Drosophila melanogaster: one gene and its partner. The protein of the gene in region 1 interacts with the protein of each later gene in a biochemical or structural test. Each region holds a gene or a part of one and is shown on either strand. Other genes may lie near its edges.

Region 1 (7,791 bases):
ATGGTGCGATCCCCGCTGGCGGACACGATGTACTTCTCATCAAAGTCCACCACATTGACGGCGGCACGGTGACCGACAAGGACGCGCCGCAGCGTAATCTCGCTGGGTGAGGTCATGTCCCAGACGGCGATGGAGCGATCCTTGGAGCAGGTAACCATCATGCCATTGTTAAAGCGCAAGTGCAGCACCGCCTCGCAGTGGTGGATAAGGGTGTTGACCATCTCGCCGGTATTGACGTCCCACACGCGGACGGTGGAGTCGCTGGAGCCACTGATGATCACCTTGTCGTCATACTGCAGGCACAGCACCGATCCAGTGTGGCCCATTAGGGTCTGCAATTCGGCGGGCAGTGTGTTAGTAATCAGAATCTTATGGATTGATTATGTCGAATGCTACCTTAACGCACTGCAAATCCGTGCGATCCCAGATCTTGATGGTGTTGTCCCTCAGTCCGGAGACAATCTTGCCGTCATCGTACTGCAGACAATAGACACCCTTCGAGTTCTCGGACCGGCAGTTGATGCGGCGCAGCATGTGGCGGCCAGTCCGCCAGTTGTTCTCTATGCTGTCAATGTCCTAAAACGCATAGAATATGTGGGTTTAATAAACCGATTGCATAATTCGGCACACTTCGAGGACAACTCACATTCATTATCTTGGGGAACAACTCGCGATGGAATGAGTGTGGCCGTTGAGTCTGGCCCGGTCTTGGCTTGAAGAGGTACTGCATCCAATTACGCCGCTCGGCCAGTCCGCGCCACAAGGAATCTGTGCGCACCTTGCGTTCGATGAGCTTCTTCCAGAGCATGCCCTCGGAAATGACGCGCAGCCATTCCTTGCAGACCAGCTCGGATGATTTGAGCGATTCGGCATCCAAGTACGACAAAATGTTTTCTGCGATGTGATCCAGACCCTTGACTGCAAATAATTAATCATAAAATGTTATAATAATGCACAAGTAATTGTAATTATCAAGCAAGGCACAGATTCCATGTAATCTAATTATCTTGGAAAAGCCCATCTCTGTGGACAAAGTTTCTGACTAAGGCAGCTATTTATATTTGGCCCCCAGCTACACATAACCGATTTTCCATCAGATATGAGGTGGAGCTTTTGTGGCTGCTACCGCTCTTGGCAGACACCCACTCAACCCAATCAAATGCAATGCAATGCAAGCACATCAGCCAGCTTTAATTGAGCGCCAAACTAGAGGCAAAATGATGCACCTAACGGCATTAAAATGCACTTAGCCCAGTAGGCGGGAGTGGGTGTGGAAGGGAGTGTGTGGGAGTGGCTGTGGAGTAGGCGCAACCTATAGACTGGCATATTTACATGTGTCACGGTTAGGAGTGGTTGAGTTTCACTCGAAGGATGAGGCGGGGGTATGGCCATAACCACATCCACATCTTCATCTTTGTATTGACAAACCGGCTGATGGGCCAACAGAGAAGTCAGAGTCTGGAGTGCATGCGAGCACACTCGCATTCAGTGCCTTCCCTGCTTGCTGTTCGCAGCATTTGCCCAACACAATTAAAAATGTGCATAACTCGGAATGGCAGGCTGTTTGGCGGGCGGCAGCGATTTGGCTCAACTTGTTTGCCGTCGCCGGCGACTAACGGTCTTAAGAGTGTCTATCCGTCTGCGAGCAAGTCCGTCCGTCCGTCCGTCCGCTCTGTCCACCCGACTGTCCCCCCCACCACCTTTTAGCTGCCTTTGAAGTGCATTACAATGTAAATGGAGGGGACAATGTTACCTACTTGCAACTCTTTTTCATTCTAGAACACTCAGTGATGCCAACTAAGCGGAAGTTATACAAACGTATGTGCTAGCATTCGATTTTCTTTTGAGTAAATATTTAAAACTATGCTCCTAAGGGATAAATTAGTCAATTAATTGGTGAATAACTAATCAGATGCTTGGTAAGCAAAGTAAATTAATAGCTCAATTTAAACTTGACAGTTTATAACATTTTAATCAGGCTCTTCATTCTAATTTCTGATAAGCATATCATAATGGCTTGCTATGTTTATAGTGACTGCATGAACTTTGTACTTTTAAAGCAATATATGAATTAGTTATATCTGGAAAAAAAAAGCCAAGTGGTCATAGTGTACTGTCATTACATAACAAGAAAGCAAGAACAAGGAGTGCATCGCCGGGGATTAAGTCAACGGAAGCATGAGACGACTTCCTCAAAAGAACTTATTCCAGACTGGTGGCTCAAGGAAGGAAAGGCTTGCAAATTAAAGAGACTTTTTTCGCTATTTCAGAACAGGTATGCATGCATGCATGCATTTCAGCGAATATCTGAGCAAACGAACCGAAAGTAAATATACGTTTTCTGTATAAATGCCCTTGCAAAGGCTAGAATTGCACGCACAGCTCTTGTTGATTGTTTGAGTCATCGATACGCTCACGTATTGATGCATTGATAAGCGAACTGATCGCTTATTCACATACTCATACTCATAGTTAACCTGTTTGCCCATACCCAACCCAATCATATCCATTGCACCCGTAGCACACTCCATAGTTTTGTTATTAGTTAACATCTGTTGGACGACAACAATCGATGCCACGAATAAATCGATTCACATTTTCTTATGAATAATATACAAGGTTCGTTCCCGCTTTCGTTCTGTTTGTGTTCCGGTAAAGCGCGTTTAATGGAAGCAACGACCTTTTAGTCAACAGCCAACAACCAGCAACCTAAAGCCCACCCACTGGCTTCACCTCCTCCTACTCCTCTGGGCTCCTCTCCACTCCAACAGTTGGAAACATGCCCGGCAACAATCCGGAGGAGCAAGGGTGTCTGTCGGGGGACGCGGAACGAATCGCACCGGGTTCAGAGCGCGGCTTGCCTTTCATGTTGTTCAACTTTGTACCTGCAGTTTGTTATTGTTTCGCCAATTGCGTGTGTCGAGGGCTTAAACTCAGCTTTGTGCTGCTAGACTCGCCTGAGATTCTAATGGTGGATGAGCCATTTCTGAGCCTTCATTTTAGGAGGAAAACGGTCAAACTCCGATGGTGGAATTCGCACCCTAACAGCTGTTATTGCCTTCTTATCGGCTGCGTGAATTGGTTTCTCTATTGGTCAACTGGGATTACTGACCTTCCCATACAAAGCATGCTGTTGATAACAACTGGGTTATAAATCACGTTCTTGGAATGACTTAGCATGACTAATTTATCCGTTCAATATTTATAATATTTAGGAATAGATCTAACAGCTTCAAAAATGCAGATTAATATATGATATACCACTTCATCATTTCCTCACTTGTAGAATAACCACTATTGAATCCACAGCTAAAACTGCATTTTTAACGTTCATATTTTCATAGTCGTTGGCTAACATGTTACAGTTTACAGTCTTGGCCTAATACTTTGTTGTGAACGTAATATATCAATCTGTATGAACGGAAGTTATTTCTCCACTTCGACTGGACTCAGGTGGCAATAGCCAGTGTATCGGCAGGCACTCACTTGGCAGCAATGTGATAAAGTCCCGCTGGAGCATCGGCTTGAGATAGGCATTGATCTGTCCGTGTTGATAGTGGCACATGCGCGACAGCAGGTGCTCCACAAAGTCCACCTGGCCCGACTCGCTCCACTGGGTGAAGTACTGAAAGCAGAGTTCCCGCTCCGTTTGGTAGGTGGGCGATGAGTCTTTCTTGCGCACCGGGTCGTACAGCATAGTGGTTGTGAACTGTATGGGTGAAAAGTGGCATAAAGAAGCAAATTAATTATGAGATTGCATTTGTTTCGTTTTTGTTGTTGTTGTTGTTGTTGTGGGGCGACGATGATGTGTTATGGGGTGCTTCGATGTCAAGGGGCGATCGTTAAAACTGGAAAAGTAGGTAGCTGCTGGTTGTGCAACTTTTCTTTAGTTTAGGCTACCGACGACCCAAACTGGGGGCTTAAAATTAGGCAATTAGCTTCGACTACGCTGAGCGTTTCTTTCTATTCGTAATTTTTCTCATTTTTTTTTTATTCGGCGGCGAAAGAGTTTGCAAAGCGGATTTCTGAAGAATGAAAAACGCGACTGGCAGCGCAGCGGTAGAAACAGATCATTCACACGGCCAGTTTATAAATAATAATTGTATCGATGTTTATTTGGTCTTCCATGCTCATTATGCGCATTCTATATATAGACATACCCATTGATGGGCCCCAATTAAATCAAACGTCATCAATTAAACGCTAAAGATCTCGGCAAACAATTTTATCGGCGTGAAGTAAACAAATTGGTCGATTCGAGTGTGAGTGATTTGAGTAATTAAGTTAACTGCAATGCCAGCAATGCGAAAACCTTGCCAGTATTTGTAGTAAATGTTGTGAATATGTATGTACAAACATACTAAGTTGTATTCGGGTCGGTTGCCTTAATTTAATTGCCGTATTATGGTTTTTGTAAGCTTTAGTTGTTTGCCTTTGCCTGGTAACTTTGAGCTGAAGGATGCTACTTAAACTATGCACTGATTATGCTATGAGAAAGGTTTGTGGCAATAAGCAATATGAATGTATATATCCTCTAATTGATAGTTAATAATATCTCGTTTGTGTTTCGCTGCTATTACCAAGAAGCCATCTGTCTCATTAACCAGATTCCACCTTGAATCCGGCGAAATTAAAGCCCAGATGACTCAAGCGAAACCGAGCGAAAAAATTGAAAATAAAAAACGATTTTTTTGGCCCATTACTCGATGGTTTTACGCGAACTGACCTTCAGTAAGCCGCCTATCGTATATAGCTCCACAATTAAATAAGTACTGATTGAAATGTACACGGCCGTACTTTGTGCACAGCGTTTGTTATTAATTGTGTACACAAACTCGAGGCCAATTAACGAAATCTTAAGACTCGAAAACCGGAGATTGGGGATATATACATATATATGCAACGATAATTGAACAAAGGGGATGATGATGATGATGCTGGCGATGAATAAGTAGGCTAATGTCTAATATCCACAAGAGTTTAAGGTTATAGCCCATGGGATGGCTATGTGCCACAGTGTCCGAATTTAATAGAGTGCACGAGTGCAAAATCTGTAGTATATACGAAAATAAAGCACTAGCACACGCACACCAGTGTGTGACAACACGCATAGGTGGCGTAGGTGTGCGTGCCCCTGTGTGTGTGTATGTGTGTGGGTCTATTGAGGCGACACCTTGGGCAATATGTACTTAAATCGGTGTGTTTAATGCATTTAGAAGGGCAGAGATCCCGCTTAAAGCAGGTAACTTAGCGAAAACTCACGGCCTGTGCATTGGAGTTGGTTTCGTCCATTATTTTGTCAGTCTCCATTTTCATCATTGTGTTGTTTGTGTGTTTGTAGAGTTTACTGGCTCGTCGTTTGCTTCTCTCTCACTCGCTCACTGCCAGAGTTTTCCGTCGCACTCGCACTCACGCACCACGTAGCGTTTTTCGCTGATTTTTCGTTAACACGTCTCGCAAATCGCTTTTCGCCAGCGATTTCATATAATTTTTAGGTCGAAGGAAAATTACAATTTGCTCGTCTCGGTTTCTGTAGGACCGCAGGCGGGATGCGCGAAAACGGCGAGGCGAACGCGATGGCAAAGGCAAACTCAACTTGCCGAGGTCCCTCACCAATTGAGCGAATGTCGTATGCAAGTCATTATTCTCACCGCTCCTGGCGGCTTGCACGTTGTTTGTTTTTGCTTATTCAGATGACGCCAACTACTGGACACTCACTTTTCACACGGAGAATTTTATTTTTTTTTACCAGATCTCGCCCAAATACGGACTGCGAAACCACAAAGCCAAAGATGAGTGTGCACTATCGTTATCGATATCTGTCACATATATGAACGGTCACACTGCCACGGGCCAGTGCTGCAAAATACGGCAAGAGCACACAATTTCGTCGTTTCTGCTCTAAATTTTCGAACAGGTTGTTGCAATTACAACTATTTATGAAATGTTTTTAAGTTATTTCCCTTTCAGAGCTATGAATTGTAAGCATTGTATGGCTACCCAACACACTTTGCCAGCTCTGACAACTCTGCACATCCATATCAGCTGATTTCTCGATCGCTCTCTCCGTTTTCTGTTGTTATTTAATTGATAAACTTGTTGCGGGGGGCCACTCTCCAGATAACCCCCCACTTTTAAATTAATAAATATTGCGCAAGTAAGTGCCGTCCAGCTCGCCGAATGCTCACTTTCATTCGACCGCAGAGCTGTTCCCATTCTAATCATTTCCTTGAGCATTCATAATCGAGCTACAATACACATTTTTTTTCAAATTCACAGTGCAACTAACTCAAATCCTCAGGATGGCGTGCCAAAACCAAAATGCCGCCAACTTCTTGAGCAATGGCAAGAAAATTGTGGGGGTGGCTCTCAATTACATGTAACTCAGTGTCATAGTAATCTTGGGTCTGCATGGGTAATCCACGAATACTTTCTTCCGTCGCAGGGACGTTGTGCTGGCCAGGAACGTTCCCGTGCCCAAGGAGCCGCTCGTCTTCCTCAAGCCCACATCTTCGTACCTCCAGGAGGGTCAGCCCATTGTGGTGAGTTCTACAGAGAATTAATTAAGATAACATTAAGATAGTAGCAAGATAGCAAAAGTCCATAAACTGGAGAGTAAACGAATGGAAATTGAAAATCCCTCTTGTGATTTAAACTTTGTATTCCCCCAGTTACCAAAAGTCTTTACCAAGGTGGCATATGAAGTGGAACTAGGCGTGGTGATTGGAAAGCCCTGCAAGAACGTATCCAAGGCAGATGCCATGAGCTATGTGGCAGGATACTGCCTGGCTTTGGATCTAACTGCCCAGTGCAATTTGGTAAGAAGATGGATGCACTCAATCAAGAGCCATTGTTGTAATCAATAATCAATTTCAGGGACCAGCTCGGGCGGCCGGTCATCCGTGGACCTTGGGCAAGGGATTTGATACTTCTACGCCCGTGTCCCAGTTTATACCCATCGAAAAAGTGACGGACCCGCACAACTTGCCGCTTTGGCTCACCGTCAATGGAGACCTTAAGCAAAACGGGTGCACTGCAGACTTAATATTCAAGGTGCCCGACATCATTTCCTACGTGTCCAAGTACATGACCCTGGAGGCCAACGATCTGATCCTTACCGGAACGCCCAATGGTGCCGATGCGTTCAAGGCAGGCGATGTAATTCAGTGTGGAATGGCCGATCTCGCTAAATTGACCTTCCAAGTGGAGGCTGAATAAAAGTGAAGAATTTAATTTTGATGCTATATTCGGATATAATTGGATATGTGCAATGGCTATTTCTTCTTATTACTGGCCACATCATCACAGGCAACCAAATATTTCCACATCGCTGTGCAATCGCTGGTGTTTTTCCATTTGCTGGTCGGGCAGTTGATGTAGACCTTTTCCATGACGCAGGCCAGCAAGGTGGCAGGATAGAAGTCGCAGTCGCCCTTCTTGGGCATCCATTGGAACTCCTGCACCCGCTTCCTAGCTATTTAGAATTAACCATTATTAAGTAGAAAAAAACTTTCGTATGCTAACTCACCGTAGTCCGTGCAACTATTGAGGCTCTTCAACATCAGTTGCGACATATTCGGATCGTTTTTGTAGCGTTGCTGATAGCTCTTCTGCAATGCCTGGGTATTAACAGTGCCATTGCTCAACAAGAATCCATTGGTCCTGAAGGAGCACTCCGCAATACACTGAGGATTACACGTTTCCCAAGAGTAAAGCCAGTTTTAAAATGATATATTTTAGAGCGATACTTACTGCATGCAAAGCCACTTTATCCGACTTAAGATTGCGCAC
Region 2 (7,586 bases), on another chromosome or scaffold:
AGGAGAAGGAGAAGAAAGGCGGGCGGAGAATAGGGAGCCGTCTGAGTCTTAATGAGAGATGCACGCGTGTACCAATTTCCCTTTGGGAATCCATTTTGGACACGTTCGACATGTGGAACCTGTTTGTTTTCGGGAACCCAGACGGTGGAACCTGTTCCCAGTGAGGTCTCAGCCCAATCCAGGTAACTTCGAGAACCGGGTGCATCTGGTTTTCCATAAACGAATATTGTTTAATTGTGATTACCCCACATTGACTCATCACACAGACACTCACGTTGCCATCTCTAGAGTATAGAATAACGGTGTCAGGCTGCAGCAGAAACAACGAGGCAAAGTGAAAGATTCTCGTTATTAAAGATGCCCAAAACAAGAAGAAGGGGAGCAGATAAGAGCAGTAGACAAAGATTTAATAACAAGTTGTATTAAATACCCTTGTGAAGAGGTTTTTCTTTAAGCTTTAGAAGTTCCATACTAAATCTTCATTATAAGAGAATGTACAATTCTCTCTTAATACTTACTTTAATCTGATTATCAATCAGATAAAGATAAAACAATTGTTAAATATTCGAATAAAGATTTAAAAGCTGTAACATCCTCAAGCAGAAAACAGAGATACCCCGCATAAAGTCAAATGCAGGAGAAGGAGAGCAGACAAGGCGCACCGGTTATGGGCATGTGTTGGTGTGTATCTGTGTGAGCCGGGTGAAATTGCAAAGAAAAAGAACGCCTACACAGGCAGACGTAGAAAGGGGTAAAAGCGGGTTATAGAGAAGAGGCGAAACGGGGGACATAGGAGACCTGGACCCGAGGAAGACTGGGCTGGGTGCACAGCTGCCTGAGCTCCTTTCACCCACTCAAAACCAACGTGATCCGTGGCGAAATCTTCTGCGGGGTTAGGGCTCACAGTCGGCTGAAATTATTAGCAACCGGCGGAGATTTATGGGCGAAAGTATACGTGCAGCTGGCTATCAGTAATGAAAAGGCAACAAAGTAAGCGGAAACTTTTTGATGCCGCTGATCGACAGGCAGAGAAAAAAACCAGAAATGTGTATGTATGTGAAAAACCGCAGATGAAGTCGAGAATGCTGAGCGAGAAGTTAATTAGGGCAGAATGAAAAGACACGAGAAGAAAGCTGAACTGAAATCTACGGACATTTTCACCTACTTGATAGGCAAGGCGTATAAACTTTATATGCTTTGAGGTATCAGAATTAGCTGAAACAATTATCCCCAAAAACTTTTTTTTGTCAGAAATTCATAACAAACGATAAGAGTGTGGAAATAAACAAATATCTAACCGATGACAGCCAGAAAATCAAGTGCCACACACAAAATCAACATGTTCATATCGCAAAAACTAATATTTTTGGCTATACCCGTACCCCGTACATTTTCGAGATATTCGGAGCAAACCCAGAAATAAAAGAATCGTATTCTCGTATAAAAAAAAAATAATAAAAATAAAAGTATTATCTCGATTAGGGGCCAGCCAAACAAAACAAGATAAACATTTCGCAGAAGAGAACAGCAGAAAATATGGTGGAAAAATTACCGAAAAAGAAAATAATACAACAAATTCCAGCCACTCTGATGACGACAACAAGCGAACTGGCAAACTGGCGAATGGGGAGCGCAAACAACAACTGAAATATTTTTATAAGTCGCAATAAGCGAAAAATAAATAAAGCGAAGGAAACACTGAAAATACAGTCGAGCAAAGAGGCGGAGCCGCTCAAAAGCGAAAACTTAGATTGGGAGACAATTGGGGTGGTAATTGCGTCCGCTGGAATTTTCAATGAGCTCGGGGAACAGGGGTGCGGGGGACCTTGTGAGATATCAAACAATAACTCATACTATTCACAGAGCAGATAATGTGAATGAAGCCAGGCAAGTCGAGCAGCGAAAACATCATCGCAAATTTTAAAGGGATTATGGAAGGGAATCTTCTTCAAGCGCCAAGACAGACATGCTCGAGCATGCAAGCGTAATCGCGGATAGCGTGGAAAATCCAAAGATACCAACCGAAGTACAAAACAAAGTCTAAGAATGTCCACAAACCCAAAAAATACAAAACGGCGACAAACCACCATGCGAATTATCGCTTCCTTGCACTCTCACCAACCAAACCAAAAATAAAGAAGAAAAAAGTTGCCATGGCGTCTATTGTGATAATCAACAATAAAAAGGGGAGGCGCTGGGGGAAATCGGGCGATAAGAGTGCCCAGAAGAGGCAGAAATATGGCACGGCAACCAATAATAATAAATATTGCGCCTAGTATTACTAAACAACAGGGCGCATTTGCCCACGGCGCGTGTGTGATAACGATAACTCAAGCAAATTAAGCGATTGTCACAATAATCGATGAGTGCTATCACCACGGGAAGGGGCAATCAACCGGACATATTACCCATGATTCATTCGTGTGGTTGCTGAAGGTGCTTAGCTAAGCAAAAACTTATCCGATAACTTATATTTATCCGAATCCGATTTACACTGAAAACTGCCTGCATAACATAATATATCGAATTCACATGTTATCGACATCGAATTCAAACCTTTTGACACCTATAGGTGGGGATTTCGAAAGCCTAGTCACAAATAAAGCTAGTGCACGTCTGTAGTAACTATTTGGATGGCTAATAAAAAACTCACCTGTTTGACGTTTTCGCTTGCTGGTTGCTGCTGCAGCTACCGATGAAGTCGATGCGGATGTTGCAGGTTGCCTTAGGATATGCTGCTGTTGCTGCTGCTGCAGTTGTTGTTGTTGTTGTTCCTGGTGACGCGTCCCGTCCGTAGTTGCCGTTACCGTTTGATCGCCGTAGAAGGACGTCGCCCTGACTGAAAGTCCCGCTCCTAATCCCGAACAGAATCCGGATCCCCCGCCCCCGGCAACGGCGTAGTCAACGAAATCGGACGCTTTTGGGGGGTAGGACGTTTTCATTGGCGCATGCTATCCCGCTCGACGTGGTCGGCTGTCTCCCTTGCACTCAGTTGGCTTGCATTGGGGTTTTTGGGTTCCGTTCGCCTTTTTCCGGCCGCTTACAAACTTATGTTTACAAACTATGTTTGTACAAAACGTGGCGGCGAGTCACTGGCGAATTTCGAGTGACACCGTTTGAAATTTCACGTGAATTCAATATTTTAAGGCTTTTAAGTAAAATATTTTACGAAGAGGATATATTTACAAGAATATGCTTTTTTCAAGACAAATACAATTTATGCCAAATTAAAAGAGAATCTGCAAGTAGAGGGAGAACACAATAGCCATTAGCATGGTCGAATAAAATCACGTACCAAAAATATCATATCACCACACTCGCACACCTGCCCGGCATTCATACGTTTATATTTTAATTCGCTTTTGAAACTTTCCATTCAAATGTGTTGTCCAAATATTGACAGTGGAGACTAACTAGTGAACTAAATAACTTTATTTTGCTTTAAGTAATTTTGTAATGCCTTGGAAAGGCTTGTACAGCAACTTGGTAACTTTATGTTTCTTGCACGCAGAACTTCCTCATCTAGGCTCTACTGTAATTGTTTTGTTTTTTACTTGATTCCACTTTTAAACTACGCAAAAAGCGGCGTGAAAGAGAGCAAACTATAAAAACAAGACAAACACATTTCGGGTGTCGAAAAATGAAAACCACAAAAGAACGAAAAAAGCAAACAACAATAAAAACATTTGGGAGATACGCACTTGGCCCCGCACACAAACAACACGCACACTAGCGCACTTTTGGCCCACACGGATACACACCACGAAACCCTTTTCTACGCACTTTGCTGAAAATTCTACGAAGCCCCCTAAAATTAAACCTAATTGGCAACTTTCGTTGCCAAACCCAAAAAACAAATCCACAAAAAACAACAACAAATTAAAGCAAACACAAGCCGGTTCCAAAGTTATTAAATGGATTGCTCAGCGAGTGGAAAAGGGAGAGACAGTTTTGCTGAATGGATTTTCGTTCTGCAGCTGGCGAGTAAATGGATCCTACGGATACCCTTGCCTAATGTAAAATCGAAAAACGTAGCTCAAAAGGTTTTGATGGCCATTATCCGCACAATACCGATTAGTAACTTGATAAATTCACAGCTTTCATTACAGAGATGAACAGTGAGAATACATATTTCAGATGGGGCTTTGGGAAACACAATATCCCTTCGACAATTTACACGCACTCTCTAACTAACGTCTAATACGACGGCTCTTAGTTAACTACGTCGCCGAGAAGAGAAGAGGAAGACGGAGAAATCCGAAACCGGGCTAAAACAAGTTTCTGAAAGCGCTTCTTCTTGCCGCTGTTATTGTCCATCATCTCATTTTGGGTGTAGCCAAAATTAATATTTATGCTCGTTGATTTGTTTGCGGGAAAATTGCAAAACATAAAAGGTTTTCTTTCGTAATATTTCACCGCACAGCACCGCACTCGCACACACACTCACACACACACAAGCAGAGTTCACAAACACCTGCCAGCGAGTCCGGTGTTTATTTATGCATCTTAATTTGTTTTGCACCTTTTTCGCAGCAGCTTCGCCAGTCATATGTATATGCAGATATATATCTTGGCTTTCTGTAGCTGCCACTTCCTCGACGGCCGTGGCTGTATCTTCTGTGGCTGCAACGTCCGCTCGCGAAGCCGTTTGTGGAGACTCTGAATCGAAGAATTGAGGCACCGAAACTTTGTTGCCACAGAGCCGAAAAAAGAGAGCGGACACTCGCCGCTCTTCTCGGCTTCGGATTCTTCCAGGCGCCTGCGCAAGCCCGGTCTCCGCTCTTCCACTACCCACTTCCTGCCGCTCCAGAGAAGGGCTCCACCCCTCAAATTGCGACTTTTAGGGCTCTGCCCGGGGGACGAATCGCGAAATTATTTTTGCTTACTTTCTCTGTGGTTGTTGTTTTGGTTTTTCCTTCCCTTGCTACCCTATAATATCCTGGGTATCCTCTGCTTCGACCTTAACGTAAATGTTTAGGGATTTTCACTTACTATACTATACTATATAGTACTGTCTCTAAACTGGTCTTATCTGTACAAATTTATGATCCGGTATGAATAATTCCAGTAAGGGGTAATCCTTCGTCGGATAGCCGATTAAGTGCTTGATTGCTTACGTGGATGTCCCTGTTCGGGCGCCATCCAAAAGTGTGAGGGGCTCCATTTGACACGTAAGGATTTGCGTCGGCAGCAGAAAGCAGAAGGAAGGGGCGGAGAAAGCCAAAAGGGAGGCCAAGAACCGGCAAAGGGGCACCTTGTGAAATAGTTTTTTTTTTTTTTTGTTTTTTGTTGAGGTGGGTCGAGGAGAGGGGGTTGCGATGTGCGAATGGGCCAAAGTGGTTTAGTTGGGCAGCCGCCGGGTAAAAAGAGGCGCTGAGGAAAACTTGCGTCGTGGACAGACTTAATTACACACATATAGAACGAGATGGAAATGGCTGCGTGGATTGAACACATTTTTAGCCGAGCCAAAGAAAAGGTACGGGGGGTACTTTTCCACCAAAGGATCAAAAGAGAGCATATGGTTTCCAGCATGCTGAAAATAAGGAATGGAGAACAATTCTTAGGAAAACCTAGACTTGAAAAGCGCAACCAAACAAAAGGTAACTAAACTGGTGAATTCCCTATTACTCTTATGTAAATAAGCCAGCGCTTCAAAGAATTGCAATTTCCCCCAAGCACAAAAGTAAAGAGAAGGTAAGCCTTAAACATAATATTATATTTTTGTTTATAATTATGGTAGTTAAGCAACATTGTAATGGGCGGTGGCCTTTGTCATTAAATCTGGCATGGACTTTCGGGGTTTATGTAGCGCAGCAGGATGCGAGTTCGACAAGTCTGTGTCCCCGGGGGTTCCCCGCAGAAGACTTGCTTAACTGCAGCTTGAACGGGTTCTGCTTTCGGTGGCGACGTCAGCAGTCAGTCCTCTGGACTGTGCATCCACACCCTTCTTCTTTTCTGCAGCGACAACGCCACAATTCAATCAGCAATATGGTTGGCAGCCTGGGCATCAATTACAGGCCAATAAAGCTGGGTCCCCACTTACCCCCCACCTCCTAATCTCATTTTCCAACAGCTGTTGGGGGCGGAGACCTGTGGGAGGGACAGCTAACATATGGAAGCTTCGGGTTTTCATTTTTTCTCCCTGTAAGCTCTAATTGACAGCTGCCAAAGTGGGCGAGTGGGTTGGGGGAATGAGGGTTGCGCCGGGAAAACCCACAAGCAGTAAGCCTCACCCCTCCCCCTCCAATCAACTCGTTAAAGTTGTGCAACAATTTCCCTTTAAATGATTTACATAGGAAACCCATGAGGGAAGTGTGAAGGAGAGGGGGCACTCTCTCGATCTCTCTCTTTCGGTATCCTTGAATGGAGGAAAAGAGAGAGAGAGAGTGGAGAGAGCAACCGGCGGCGGTTTCTTTGATGAATCGACAAACGCTGATTATGATGACGCAGCGTCACAGGAGGATAAACGAGTGACAGAAGAGAGAGAGAGAGAGAGAGGAGAGAAGAGAAAGATTAGGAGAGAAGGGATAAGGCAGTTATTTCCATTTCCGCCTGCCAGCTATTGTTCCTCTTTTGTTTTGATAAATGCCAAAAGAGTTGGCAATAAATCCCAAACAATAAAAATTGCCCGAGGGAAGGGGATAAAAGTCCCAAAAGTGGACAAATTATTCAACCTACTGAGACTTATTTAGTTCCAGGGCATTCCAGACTTACCCACTTTACGGACTACATGTTAAGTGTACGATATTATTATAAGTTTGAAGACTTTTATAAACAAATTTTAGCAAATATTCTTAGACTTTTTCTCTCTTAGAGGCTATAATATCAATTAAAATAGAAAAGAGGCCAAGAAGCATGTATATTCTATGGGTTTGACCGCAACTGCTGATTAAATAAAACCAAACCGATCGCGGGTTTATTGTTTGCCATTGTGAATTCAGTCGCCTAAGCTAGGGAATTCAAACACAAAAATCCTTAATTAACGAGCGAGAGAGAGGACGATAACAGCACCCGCATTCGAGAAAAACAATGGAAACATCGAGTTTTCCCTTGTGGAAACCGCCCCCCAGGAGAGAAAGAGAAAAATACGAACCCTGTAAATTAATTGTTGCTAACAAAAAGCAATCGAAAAACGCGAGAAAATCAAAAATTCCAGAGCGAAAACAAGTTAAAAATGCAATTGAATGTTGATACGCTCTTTGTGTTCGCTCCCTCTCTCTCCCACACACAACAGCACACACACGCACACGAGCACCATACTAGTGGGCTACTTTGAGTTCATCGTTTTCAATTCATTTTCGAGAGTTTCTCTTCTCTCTTAGCTCTGCTTCCTCTTCTTTGCGCTCAGCAAACACAACACAGCAACAAAAAAAAACACGCTACCACACACACACACACACTTGCAGCTAAGGGAAAAGGCTTTTCTTTTCATATTTCGCTTACTTTTTGCTTCATTAACAACTATACGTGGAAAGTGCTGTGGAAATTTGATTATAAAAAAACACTCGCCATGATTCCGATCCTCTCTAACTTTTCGCGTTGTCTCACTCACGCTCACGCACTCACTCTTATTATCTGTCTCTTTT

The links. Proteins that work in one complex are often made in the same cells at the same time.
Region 2: of the proteins of slmb (region 1) and Hipk, one has a biochemical effect on the other in vitro, tested with the Drosophila melanogaster proteins (one study listed by BioGRID).

Annotation. Positions count from the first base shown.
Region 1 is NT_033777.3:21,121,676-21,129,466, forward strand, and holds the start of slmb (supernumerary limbs), read right to left. Parts: upstream 5,811-7,791; 5' UTR 5,320-5,810; coding exon 5,263-5,319; intron 3,710-5,262; coding exon 3,487-3,709; intron 919-3,486; coding exon 647-918; intron 577-646; coding exon 397-576; intron 333-396; coding exon 1-332. Other genes in the region: CG5793 (uncharacterized protein), read left to right, coding at 6,303-6,379, 6,446-6,542, 6,672-6,818, 6,877-7,218; Obp93a (Odorant-binding protein 93a), read right to left, coding at 7,275-7,474, 7,529-7,685, 7,753-7,791.
Region 2 is NT_037436.4:543,135-550,720, reverse strand, and holds the start of Hipk (homeodomain interacting protein kinase), read right to left. Parts: upstream 4,663-7,586; 5' UTR 4,523-4,662; intron 3,240-4,522; 5' UTR 2,943-3,239; coding exon 2,654-2,942; intron 425-2,653; exon of another isoform or gene 267-424; intron 183-266; exon of another isoform or gene 1-182.